2 linked regions of the Caenorhabditis elegans genome follow. The protein of the gene in region 1 purifies or fractionates together with the protein of each later gene. This does not show direct contact. Each region holds a gene or a part of one and is shown in the gene's direction. Other genes may lie near its edges.

Region 1 (5,445 bases):
ATTTTCTAAAAAAAAATGAATGAATTTTATACGACCTATGAGTTTTTATGAGTTTTGGAACGACTCCCAGACTTTGTTAGGCACGTTTGTATTTCAATGAACTTGTTCTTAAAAAATTTATTACGCGCATCTAGTCTGAAACTATGTGCACACCAGTAGGCCAGTAGGCAGATATCGGGTTGAAAACAGCGAGGAAGGCTGTCGGGTGAACTTGTCCGCCTGATTTGGACTACTTTTTTTTTAAAGCAGAGCTAGAGAAATTATAATAAAATTCAAGAAAAATGTATAGACCTAACAAATGGGAAATCAAGCGTCGGAAAAATTTAAGAAACCACTATTGATGAAACCCATAGCAAAGATTTTTGCGGCAAGGAAGCATAGAATTTAAAAAAAAATTTAAAAACTACTTCTAAACTAGAATACTTTTCCCATTAATATGAGTGGTTGAATCTTGATTAAATATGTGACATATAAGTCACCACAAAATTGAGCAAATACTCAAAACTACTTAATAGTTTTGTGAGTCACTTTTATAAACGTTCAAAACTTTCTTCAAAAATAATTTTCAAGTTCACCTATGTACCTTTAATATTTTCTAATTTACAAAAATCTAAACGAATATAAAAATGGATTAAACTTACATTTTGTTCTTCCACTGATTGACTTGGCATTTTCTTGAGCAACTTCTTTTTTCAGTAAAACAAATTTCAGATATGTGTGCTTAACTTTCAAAAGATATATCCTTGACTGTCTCCTTATTTTTTGAGCAATTTTGATAAGTTTAGCCAAAAAGTAAGTGGGCGCTCATTTTCGCGACAATCTTTGCTGTCTGCGTCTCTTCGTCTCACGTGCAATTTCGCTGTTCAAATATAAAACAATGCACACACATACAGAAAGGCTATTTTTGACAGGGAGCTCAAGTAAAATGGAGAAAAGCGAAGTTGTTCGGAAATTTTTTGAAATTCAAAAACCTAATGTCAACTTGTAAATACAACTGGGTGGTCAATGTTCAATAACAAACAGAGGGATATTTTGATTTTTGAATTGTGTTGGAATTTCAAAGAACGAAAACCATTTTACCAATTCAGATATTAACAGGAAAGTATGTAAAGAATATTTTCGAAGTCCATATTGACAGTTGATAACTGTTGACGTGGGTGAACCTGACCAAGCACATACATCCGCAAAGTTGGGACGGACGGGCTCTACGGAGTCCAAGTGACAACAATATCTACTTTCTAGACACAACATGACACTCTAAAAAAATCTGCTCAAATAAATTGAAGTTGGCAGAAAAAAAAAAATTTTACAGAAAAATGTTGTCAGAAAGTTGCAAAAGTTTGATAACATACTCACAAACCTTTTTCAAACAGGAATTTCATTAGATTCAGTATTACATTTTAAAATTAAACTCTCCAGATTTCCATGCATCTGCTGCGAAAGTAAATTACAGATTCTGAAAGCCGAAGATTTTAGCTCTCGCGCCAGGTTAAGTTTTATTTCATTCACATCTTATAGTTATCGTATTCCCGAGCAACGTGTTTATTTTCAATTAAACCTAAAAACTCCTTTTAAAATCAAACTTCAATTAGACATTCACTTGTTCTTATCAGCGGAAAAAGTTCAAAAACCTGGCTCTATCGACAGAAGTGAACTTTTCCATGAAAAATAGGCAATAACTTTAAAAACATAGCAGGTGGAGGGTGTAAAGGTTTTATGATTGGCGTATCAAACATTCAGAGCATCGAAAAAGATAATAACATGCACATTAGGCAATTGATTTCTGACGACGATCACACCGAACAATGTGTGGTATATTTGGGATTGTTGCCGCTGGAAATTATGAGCATTTGAATGTTCTTGCTGCAAATGGATTGGCTGCTCTTCAACACAGGTGGGGTTTTAAGTTTAAATTTTTAATAAGCTCTGTCTCAAAAAGTTTGATTTCATACATCTCCTACATTGGTTTCAGTTTGAATTTTTAACTGTTCAGCTCCTCATTCCTAAATATCTAATTTTTCAAAAAGCTCTCGTTTTCTCTTCCCGTTCATTCCGCTTCTGCTTAACTTAAGCCATCGTTCCACAAGAAGGCAAAAGTGTAAACTCCCTAATTGTATCCGAGCCAGTTTAGTCTGACTAGACGTCAATGGAGAAGTTATCAATTTTGCGTCAGAAATACGCTGAATCGCCAACATTAGAATCACGTTGCCAATTGGATGAAAATGACGCGTATGTAGAGATTGAACTGGCGTCTCGTGGGTCACAGCAAACAGCGCTAACCACTCGGACACACGACCAATAAAGTGCTTGTAGCGTTGCAGTGGTTGACATTGTTGCAAACAAGTAGATTGTGCAGTGATTTTGAGTTTGCAAAAAATCGAAATAGCTAAATGAATAAGTCTAGCATTTCTTGCAAATATTGTCTAGTTTCTAAATTGTTTTCCGTGCGTGATAGAAAAATAAAATACTAAAACAAATTAGTTGCAAATTTGCAATTCTTATCATGTATATTTTGCAGAGGAACTGAATCAACAGGACTCGTTGGTTCAGATGGAATCACTCGAGACCACGTGGAAATTATCAAAGGTCATGGACTTGTCCGAGATGTGATTACTGAAGATAATATCTCAAGAATGAATGGGCAATCGATAATAATTGGTCATAATAGGTATTCAACTGCAGGAAAGAAGAAGTCTGGAATCAATTGTGTACAACCATTTGTGGTATATACTGCAATGGGTACTGTAGCAATTGCTCATAATGGAGAATTGGTTGATGCGAAACAAAAAAGAAAGGAAGTACTTCATGAAGGTGTTGGTTTATCAACTGACACTGACTCAGAGCTTATTGCTCAAATGATTGCAAAAGCGATTGCTCTGAATGTAAAATGCAAGTATGGACAAGAGATGGGTGATATTACAAGAGTGAGTTTTTGAAAAACATGAAAATTCTTAAACCAAAAAACTTCAGGAGCTCGCAGTAACAATGTCTGCACTAAACATGTCATATTCTCTACTAGTAATGACATTTGATAGACTATACGCAATTCGTGATCCATTTGGAAATCGTCCACTTTGTGTTGGTACTGTATATTCTAAAAATGGAAATCCAGAAGCATTCATTGCATCTTCTGAATCTTGTGCATTTCCTGCAAATGCTAAATTAGATTTCGAAGTGAGACCAGGAGAAATTGTGGAATTATCGACAGGAGGAATCAAGTCGGTGTGGCAGGTAAACTTACATATATCTTGGCCTGCCTACGCGCCTACCTACCGCCTTCTCTGACCTCATTTTCTCATGTATGTATTTTGTTAGACATTAAAATTTAAAAAAGTGTTTTTAAAGTTTTGCAAATACATGTAGTTTTTAGACTTTCTGGTTATTTTTGGTATTTTCCAAAATTACAATCGAGACAGATGGGCTATGCTGAAAAATCAGAAACCTGGAATTATATGAGTCATTTCAGATGAAACCGAATACTCCTCTGGCTATGTGCATATTCGAATATGTCTATTTTGCACGAAATGATTCAGAAATTGAAGGACAACAAGTACAAACTGTTCGTGAAGAATGTGGAAAAACGATGGCTCTTGAAGATGATCTAGAAGCAGATATTGTTGGAAATGTTCCAGATTCTTCGCTGAGTGCAGCAATTGGATACGCTTCTCAGTCTGGAATCACATATGAACCTGTTTTACACAGAAATTCATATGTTGGAAGATCATTTATAGAACCAAATGATGAGATGAGACAAAATGCGATTAAAATGAAATTTGGTAAAATAAAGAAAACTATTTAGAAAGACTTCATGAATTCTATTTCAGGAGTATTGAAGAAAAAGATTCATGGACAAAGGATTGTGTTAGTAGATGATTCAATTGTACGTGGAAATACGATGAGAACTTTGGTAAAAATGTTAAGAGATGCTGGAGCAAAAGAGGTATTACCCTTGTTGTTAAAAATAATGATTTTTCACCTTATAAACCGTGAAAAAGGTCTTGACACGAGCAAAAATTTTCAGCTACCGTATAACGCGAGTAATTCTCCGTTTTTGCAGATTTTTCCAATACATATATTTGTTGTAAAACTGTGCATCTAGATGTTCAGCAAATATTAAGAAAACAATAGCGGAATACATAAAAACGAGAAACTGGAGTATACGGTAGAGTACGGTATCTTAGAAATTTCGATCGTGTCAAGACCGCATTATTCAAATAATACCTCTAAATTTAAAGGTTCATCTACGAATTGCTTCCCCGCCTGTAAAATTCCCATGTTTTATGGGAATCAACATTCCAACCACAAAGGAATTGATTGCTGCCGAAAAAACAATTCCAGAAATCTGCCAATTTGTTGGAGCCGATTCAGTACGGTATCTTTCGGTTGACGGTTTAGTTTCGGTGAGTTTGAACCTCACTTTCTCCTCAATTTAATTTTTTTTCAGTCTGTTCAAAAAGGAATCGAACGAGCTGCCAACTTCTCTCCAGGACATTGCACCGCATGTCTCACTGGAAAATATCCAGTTGCTATCGATTTATAATTAGTGTTTGAAAAGTTTGAATAGATTATTTGTATTCATGAAAAACAAAATCAATTCAATTAAAAATCAACAATGAATGTGTATAAAAATAAGAACAACAACAGTTTGCGGAAAAAAAATAAAATGATTAACAACAGAAATCAGGACGCTTACAAGCTCTTCTTCTTTCCACGAGATCTCAATGTTTTCTTTTCGACAGCAGCTGGACGGGCACTTGCAGCGACGGATTTGAGGATTGTCTGGAAAATTAATATAACCAAATTTTATTTAAAGTTTTTCGTACGTTGGATAGCGTAGATTTAGCCTGTGGAGTAGCAGCAGCAGCTGCCTTCTTTCCTGCGCGAGTTTTTGGAGTGAACTGTTTGGGTTCCGGCTTTTCAGTTTTAGGAGTCTTGATGACAACCTTTTTGGTGACTGGAGTGGAAACTTTCGGAGTTGCTTGTTTTGGAGTCACGGCCTTTGGAGTAGCTGCTTTTGGAGTTGCAGCTTTCACAATTTTCGGAGTCGTGCTTTTCGGGGTGACATCACTGATAAATTGAACCTCATTGTCAATGACCTTCTTAAGTGGCGTTCTTGGTGTTCCAGACACAGAGAAATCATAGTTGATCCCCATATTCTGCAGCTTCTTCAAAGTTTTGTTGAGATTTTGCACGCGTTTCTTGGCATTGATGACGTCATTTTTTCCGGTGGTATTGTTTCTGGCAATTGTATCTTTTTTAGCGATGCCCAAGTAAGATGGACGCATCACAAGCAGTGGGCCATGGCGCATTGCCTTCGGGATAAGTTCTGGTTTCATCACCTAAATTTAATAAGTTTTTCAAGGATATAATGGTAGAAGTTGACCTACCGTGCACCCGAGACGTTGCTCGAACATCAAGTAACCGTTCATTGATTCGGCAGCGATT
Region 2 (5,007 bases), on another chromosome or scaffold:
TATATTTCACTATAGTTCTAATTGTATGGTGTATAGTTTGTTTTTTAAATGCTTTTGGATTCAGTAGAATGGTTTATTTATTACCTGCTTACACGTGGCACTATGCCGTGAGTACAACTGTGAGAAGTCCCACTTTATGTTTGGCGAAAGCTTCGCATATTGCCAAATGATAGTCAACTTTTCAATTTTATTTCCAGGCTTCAAATCCATTATCAGCTGTATTAAGGTCTGTAAGTGCTGATATATCTTTAATAGATGTCGTATTCTCATTATTTGCTCATTTGGTTATCTTCAGTTATATTTATTTTGTGAGTAAAACATACATATAATTTCGTTTCAAAGAAAATTGAAGAAAAAAACTTATCGAAAACTGTTTCTACAGTATTTCATGCAAAAAACTTTCAAGTACAATATCATCTACAGCTACCCCATGATTTTCGAATTAAATTTTCAATTCGTCAAATCTCAAAACGTTTTAGGTATATGAAAAAAATTTCACAGTAGTCGCAAACAAAGGGCAGATATTTGTATTAAGAATGTTTTGAAACTTTTCATTTCCCTTCAGAAGAGCTAATGTTTCATTATTTTTCAACATTTGTTGATTTTCAGAAAGCAGCATTATTGTCAAAGAAAGAATTAATATTGACAATTCAAGTATTATGTGTTTCTATATTTCATGTTATTGGGTATTTGACATGGGAATATCTACCAATTCCATGGGAATTACCAATTGGAGTGTTCATTGGACATGTTGTATGGATGATTTGGAATTCAATCAATTCAATGCTTTATGTATTAATTAATCCGTAAGTTTTAGAACTTTGGTTGACTGAAAACATTTTTAAAAAAAGTTGCAGTCGTATTCGTAACCTGGTATTAGCATCAATTGGAAAACAAACAGAAGTCAGTGGACGTACAATGTTTGTTGCTTCGCACGTATCAACAGTTCGACAATCCGGAGCTAAAATGTAGTCAGGTCTTCAAATAAAATATAACTTTTAGTTTTTAGAATTTAAGAAATAGAAAGATATCATTAGAAAAAATAATTATGTCTAGAAATAAAAACAATTTATTTCTTGTCATCGATTTCCAAACATTTATTTATAGGTCCATGAAATCTAGACACAGAAATCTTTTTACATGAAGCCTAATTTACTGCTAACAACTGAAATGAGAGGAAACAGATCCTCTCGATATTTTCAATTTTAAGGAATATTCTGCAAGTATAGGTGGACAGAGTAAAAAAGCTTTTGTCAAAGTAAAACATTGATAAACTGATAACACACAGAAACAAATAAAAACCGTCGTAAAACAGAGACACCATCACTTCATAATAAAAATGTTTGTGTTTTGTTATCAAGGGAAACTACCGATTGAATTTTTTTTTGAAATTTTGAAGATTTTCTGGCAAATCGAGAAAAAAAAATTAATGTACGTATATCTCCAATTCGAAGCTTTGATTTTATTATAAGAACAGAGAAACATTAGATTTTTATTGGTTTTTGAAACACCAACACAGATTTCAAAGTTATATAATATTTGCGATATTTAAAATCGATTTCAAAGTTCTTTTTATTTTCTACTTCTGATTTTTTTTCGATTATTAATTCTTTCATCTACAAGCAATAAAAACACAATAATATTTGCCTCGTTATCAAATTTATCTTATCAATTGAAAAATTGAGCAACACTGTTCAATTTGACCAGTCTAAAAGACATTTTTCATTGAAAAAGTTGCCAATTTCTGAGTGTATTTTTCCAAAAATGTTCAAGATTTCAAAGTTCACAAAATAATACTTATAAATGCATAAACTCATGCTCTCCTCATCCATCGTTTTCCTGTGATTATCTCAAAAGTTTCTATTTTTAGTGTTTTTTGGTTCCTTGTTCATTTTTTATTTTGTGTGATTTTTACGTCTCGAATAAAAAATATTAAACAAAATGTTAGAAATTGAATTTTACAAGACTATCGACTTGATACAATACATCGACGAATTGTGTGAAATGACCGACGGAAAATCACTTGGTAAGTAATTTCATTTTGAATTTTTTTAAATTAATTTTTCAAGCAATCCCGGAATAAATATAATTCATTTCTATTCTTTAAAATTATTTATTGAACTAGACATTCCACCAGGTCGAGGCGTTACGGGGGCACCTCTTCCCCGCCTCTAACCTCACCCACCTCGCTCCTTGATTTGGAAAACCCTTTTTTGTGTATTTAACAAATGAAAACTACTACAATAATGAACTAAAATAAACTGCAAGTATAAAGCTAAACATTTTTAATTTTCAGCCATTATATCGGTCTCTGACAAGACAGGACTTATTCCTCTTGCTCATGGACTTGTATCTGCTGGCTTAACACTTATTGCGTCCGGTGGAACAGCGAAAGCGATCAGAGATCAAGGAATTGATGTTCATGATGTGGCAGATGTAACAAAGTTTCCTGAGATGCTTGGTGGAAGAGTTAAAACTCTGCATCCTGCCGTTCATGGAGGAATCTTGGCAAGAGATACGGAAAGTGATCGAAAGGATCTAGAGGTGAGATAGCTTATTTTCTTTTTTTTTTGAATTTTTTTTATTTGTAAACTAACTTGTTTGTTGTCGAACCGTTTTCAACTGAAACTTGCAAATTATATTAAGTGGAAATAAATAAATTTGCAACATTTGTGCAAAACAATTCTGACAAAAGATCGGATTTTGTAGAACTTCCGGGAATCTCACAAAATGAACTTTGTACTGGCTTGAAAGATTTCACCATTACTTAGTTTAATCGAATTCATGATTGAATAGAATGAAGTGAAGAAAAAAAACCAAAAAAAGAAGGGCTAACGGGTGACAAAAAGTTGGTCCTTTCGTCAGATGAAGAAGGCTTATCTCGTGAAAATAAAGAGTTGAGAAGGAGACAAAAAGAAGATTAGAAGACAATTTTTCGTCCTCTTTTTCTTCATTTTGTCGTCACGACTTCATTCAAATTTCAATTCTTATTTCGAATTATATAATTTTTTTTTAAATAAACATTATATCTCGCTTTTGTTTAAAAAAAAAGTTAGTCTAATCTGAAACTTTGACAATTGTTTGTTAATTTTTTGAAGTTGGATTACAATTTTTTGGAAAACGGGTTAGAGAGTTTTTTCGGATTTTTTTGAATCAATTTTTTGTTACTTGCGCATTTCGCAACCTATGTCTTGCCTCTTGTTGGGATTAAAGTGCCAGCCCTGATGGCTAGAACACTTTGAGACAAAGTTGAGATATGTCACCTTTAAAATTAAATTATTAATTAGAAACCGAAAAAAAATTTCATAAAGTTAGCGTTCAGTTGAACGGAGAACGGCAAAATATTAGTCAAAAAACTTTGTTTGCCGGAAAATTGTATTACAGTCATATTGCATTTCAGGATAAACATTGAATCTCTGAGATAATCAAAAAATAATACTCCAGGAACATTATATTATTTGAAATTCTATTGTGTATTTTTAGAAATATTTTATCAATTCAGAGTGAAAATAAGATTTTTGTGAGATAATCTGTAAACCTTCAACTTTCGTCATCAACCATAGAGTAAAATTAAACTTGGAACATCCATAAAAATTGGCGTAAAAATCAACGAACACAACTGATTGGGGTGTTGTTATGATGCACCGAGAGCAAGCCTACGTGTCAGTTTCTACCGCCCGTGTCTATTCAATTACCTTCTCTTTCTATTTTCAATTGAATTTGTTTCATCTTCTTTTCCTTCCTTGTATTTTTTGGTTATTTTCTTTCTTCCAGAAACACAACATTTCATTCGTCTCAGTGGTGGTTTGCAACTTGTATCCATTCAAAAAAACTGTTCAATCCAAGGATTGCTCTGTAGAAGAAGCTGTTGAGAACATTGACATTGGTTCGTTTATTTCTTTCTTTTTTTGAGTTTATTCATCCGGAAAATTGACTTTGTTTTATGTTGCCATCTTTCTTTTTCCCCTTGTTCCTTTTGATTTCAATTTATGCACTTGACTTATTTTGCTCCTTTCGTGACTTCTAACCCTAAACCAAACATCAACATTTTTTCACAGGAACAGCTTAAATTGAAATCAGAAAATCATTTTAGCAGAACTTCATAACCAAAACATACGGCCTAGATTAAAAAGTTGAATTTTTTCAAATTTAAAGTGTTCATCCTGTTTTTAAATAAGTTACCAAATATTATAGTTCATTGGAATAGCATATAATTTTAAGGGGTGTAATTCTACTTCAAGCTAATAATTCAATCAAGTTAAAACGGATGTTCGTCAATGAAATAGACCATTCTTGCATTTTCAAAGACTTACAATGTTCAATTGAAAATAATTTAAACATTATCAAAATATATTTTTTGTATAAAAAATAATATTTCGGTCGCCTTCCATTATTATGATAGGGGGAAAATTGTCACTTTTGGATGAAAATAAAAATTCAAGATTTTTGATAAGTTTTACTATGTTATGTAATTCGTCATTTTAGCATTAGTGAATGATTTAATAATTGGCAATATTATCACATACAATACTATGATCAAGTAGTTTTATTTGAGCTAATTGAAATATCAATTTCGTGAAATTGGGCACGTTCAGGTTCTGAAAAATCGTTCTCTACTTATCACTGTGAAAACATGTATGTATTGTTCTTCTCCCTTCCTAAATCCTTTCTGACACCAAAACAATTATATTTTCTTCTTGTTCGTCTTTTTTAGTTCCTCAAAATATAAATTCAATTAACACGGAAGCTGGAGAATTCACAAAAAAAGACAATACAACCAACAAAAAACTGAGAAAATAATAATTCGTTTACACTTTCATTCTATACTTCCTCTCAATAAGTTCATATAATCTGTGATCATCTTCAGAAAATTCTTTCAGAAACATTTAAAGGAGCAAATCTTACGAATGCATCATTTCGTAAAGCTTGAGCTCTAGTTTTTGGTATCATTGAAATTTCCATATTATAACTTCTAATCGAATGGTTTTTTTAATATTAAAAAAAGGA

What was found.
Region 2: the proteins of ppat-1 (region 1) and atic-1 fractionate together in Caenorhabditis elegans (co-fractionation; one large-scale study listed by BioGRID). This does not show direct contact.

Annotation. Positions count from the first base shown.
Region 1 is NC_003281.10:4,687,540-4,692,984, forward strand, and holds ppat-1 (Amidophosphoribosyltransferase), read left to right. Parts: upstream 1-1,740; 5' UTR 1,741-1,805; coding exon 1,806-1,894; intron 1,895-2,094; exon of another isoform or gene 2,095-2,232; intron 2,233-2,518; coding exon 2,519-2,924; intron 2,925-2,970; coding exon 2,971-3,231; intron 3,232-3,466; coding exon 3,467-3,776; intron 3,777-3,824; coding exon 3,825-3,940; intron 3,941-4,235; coding exon 4,236-4,400; intron 4,401-4,444; coding exon 4,445-4,540; 3' UTR 4,541-4,632; downstream 4,633-5,445. Other genes in the region: tag-243 (Costars domain-containing protein), read right to left, coding at 642-671; nifk-1 (RRM domain-containing protein), read right to left, coding at 4,690-4,779, 4,824-5,339, 5,388-5,445.
Region 2 is NC_003282.8:7,880,063-7,885,069, forward strand, and holds the start of atic-1 (Bifunctional purine biosynthesis protein ATIC), read left to right. Parts: upstream 1-1,965; 5' UTR 1,966-2,004; coding exon 2,005-2,026; intron 2,027-2,296; coding exon 2,297-2,544; intron 2,545-3,774; coding exon 3,775-3,886; intron 3,887-5,007. Other genes in the region: srt-73 (Serpentine Receptor, class T), read left to right, coding at 1-107, 198-308, 610-806, 858-972.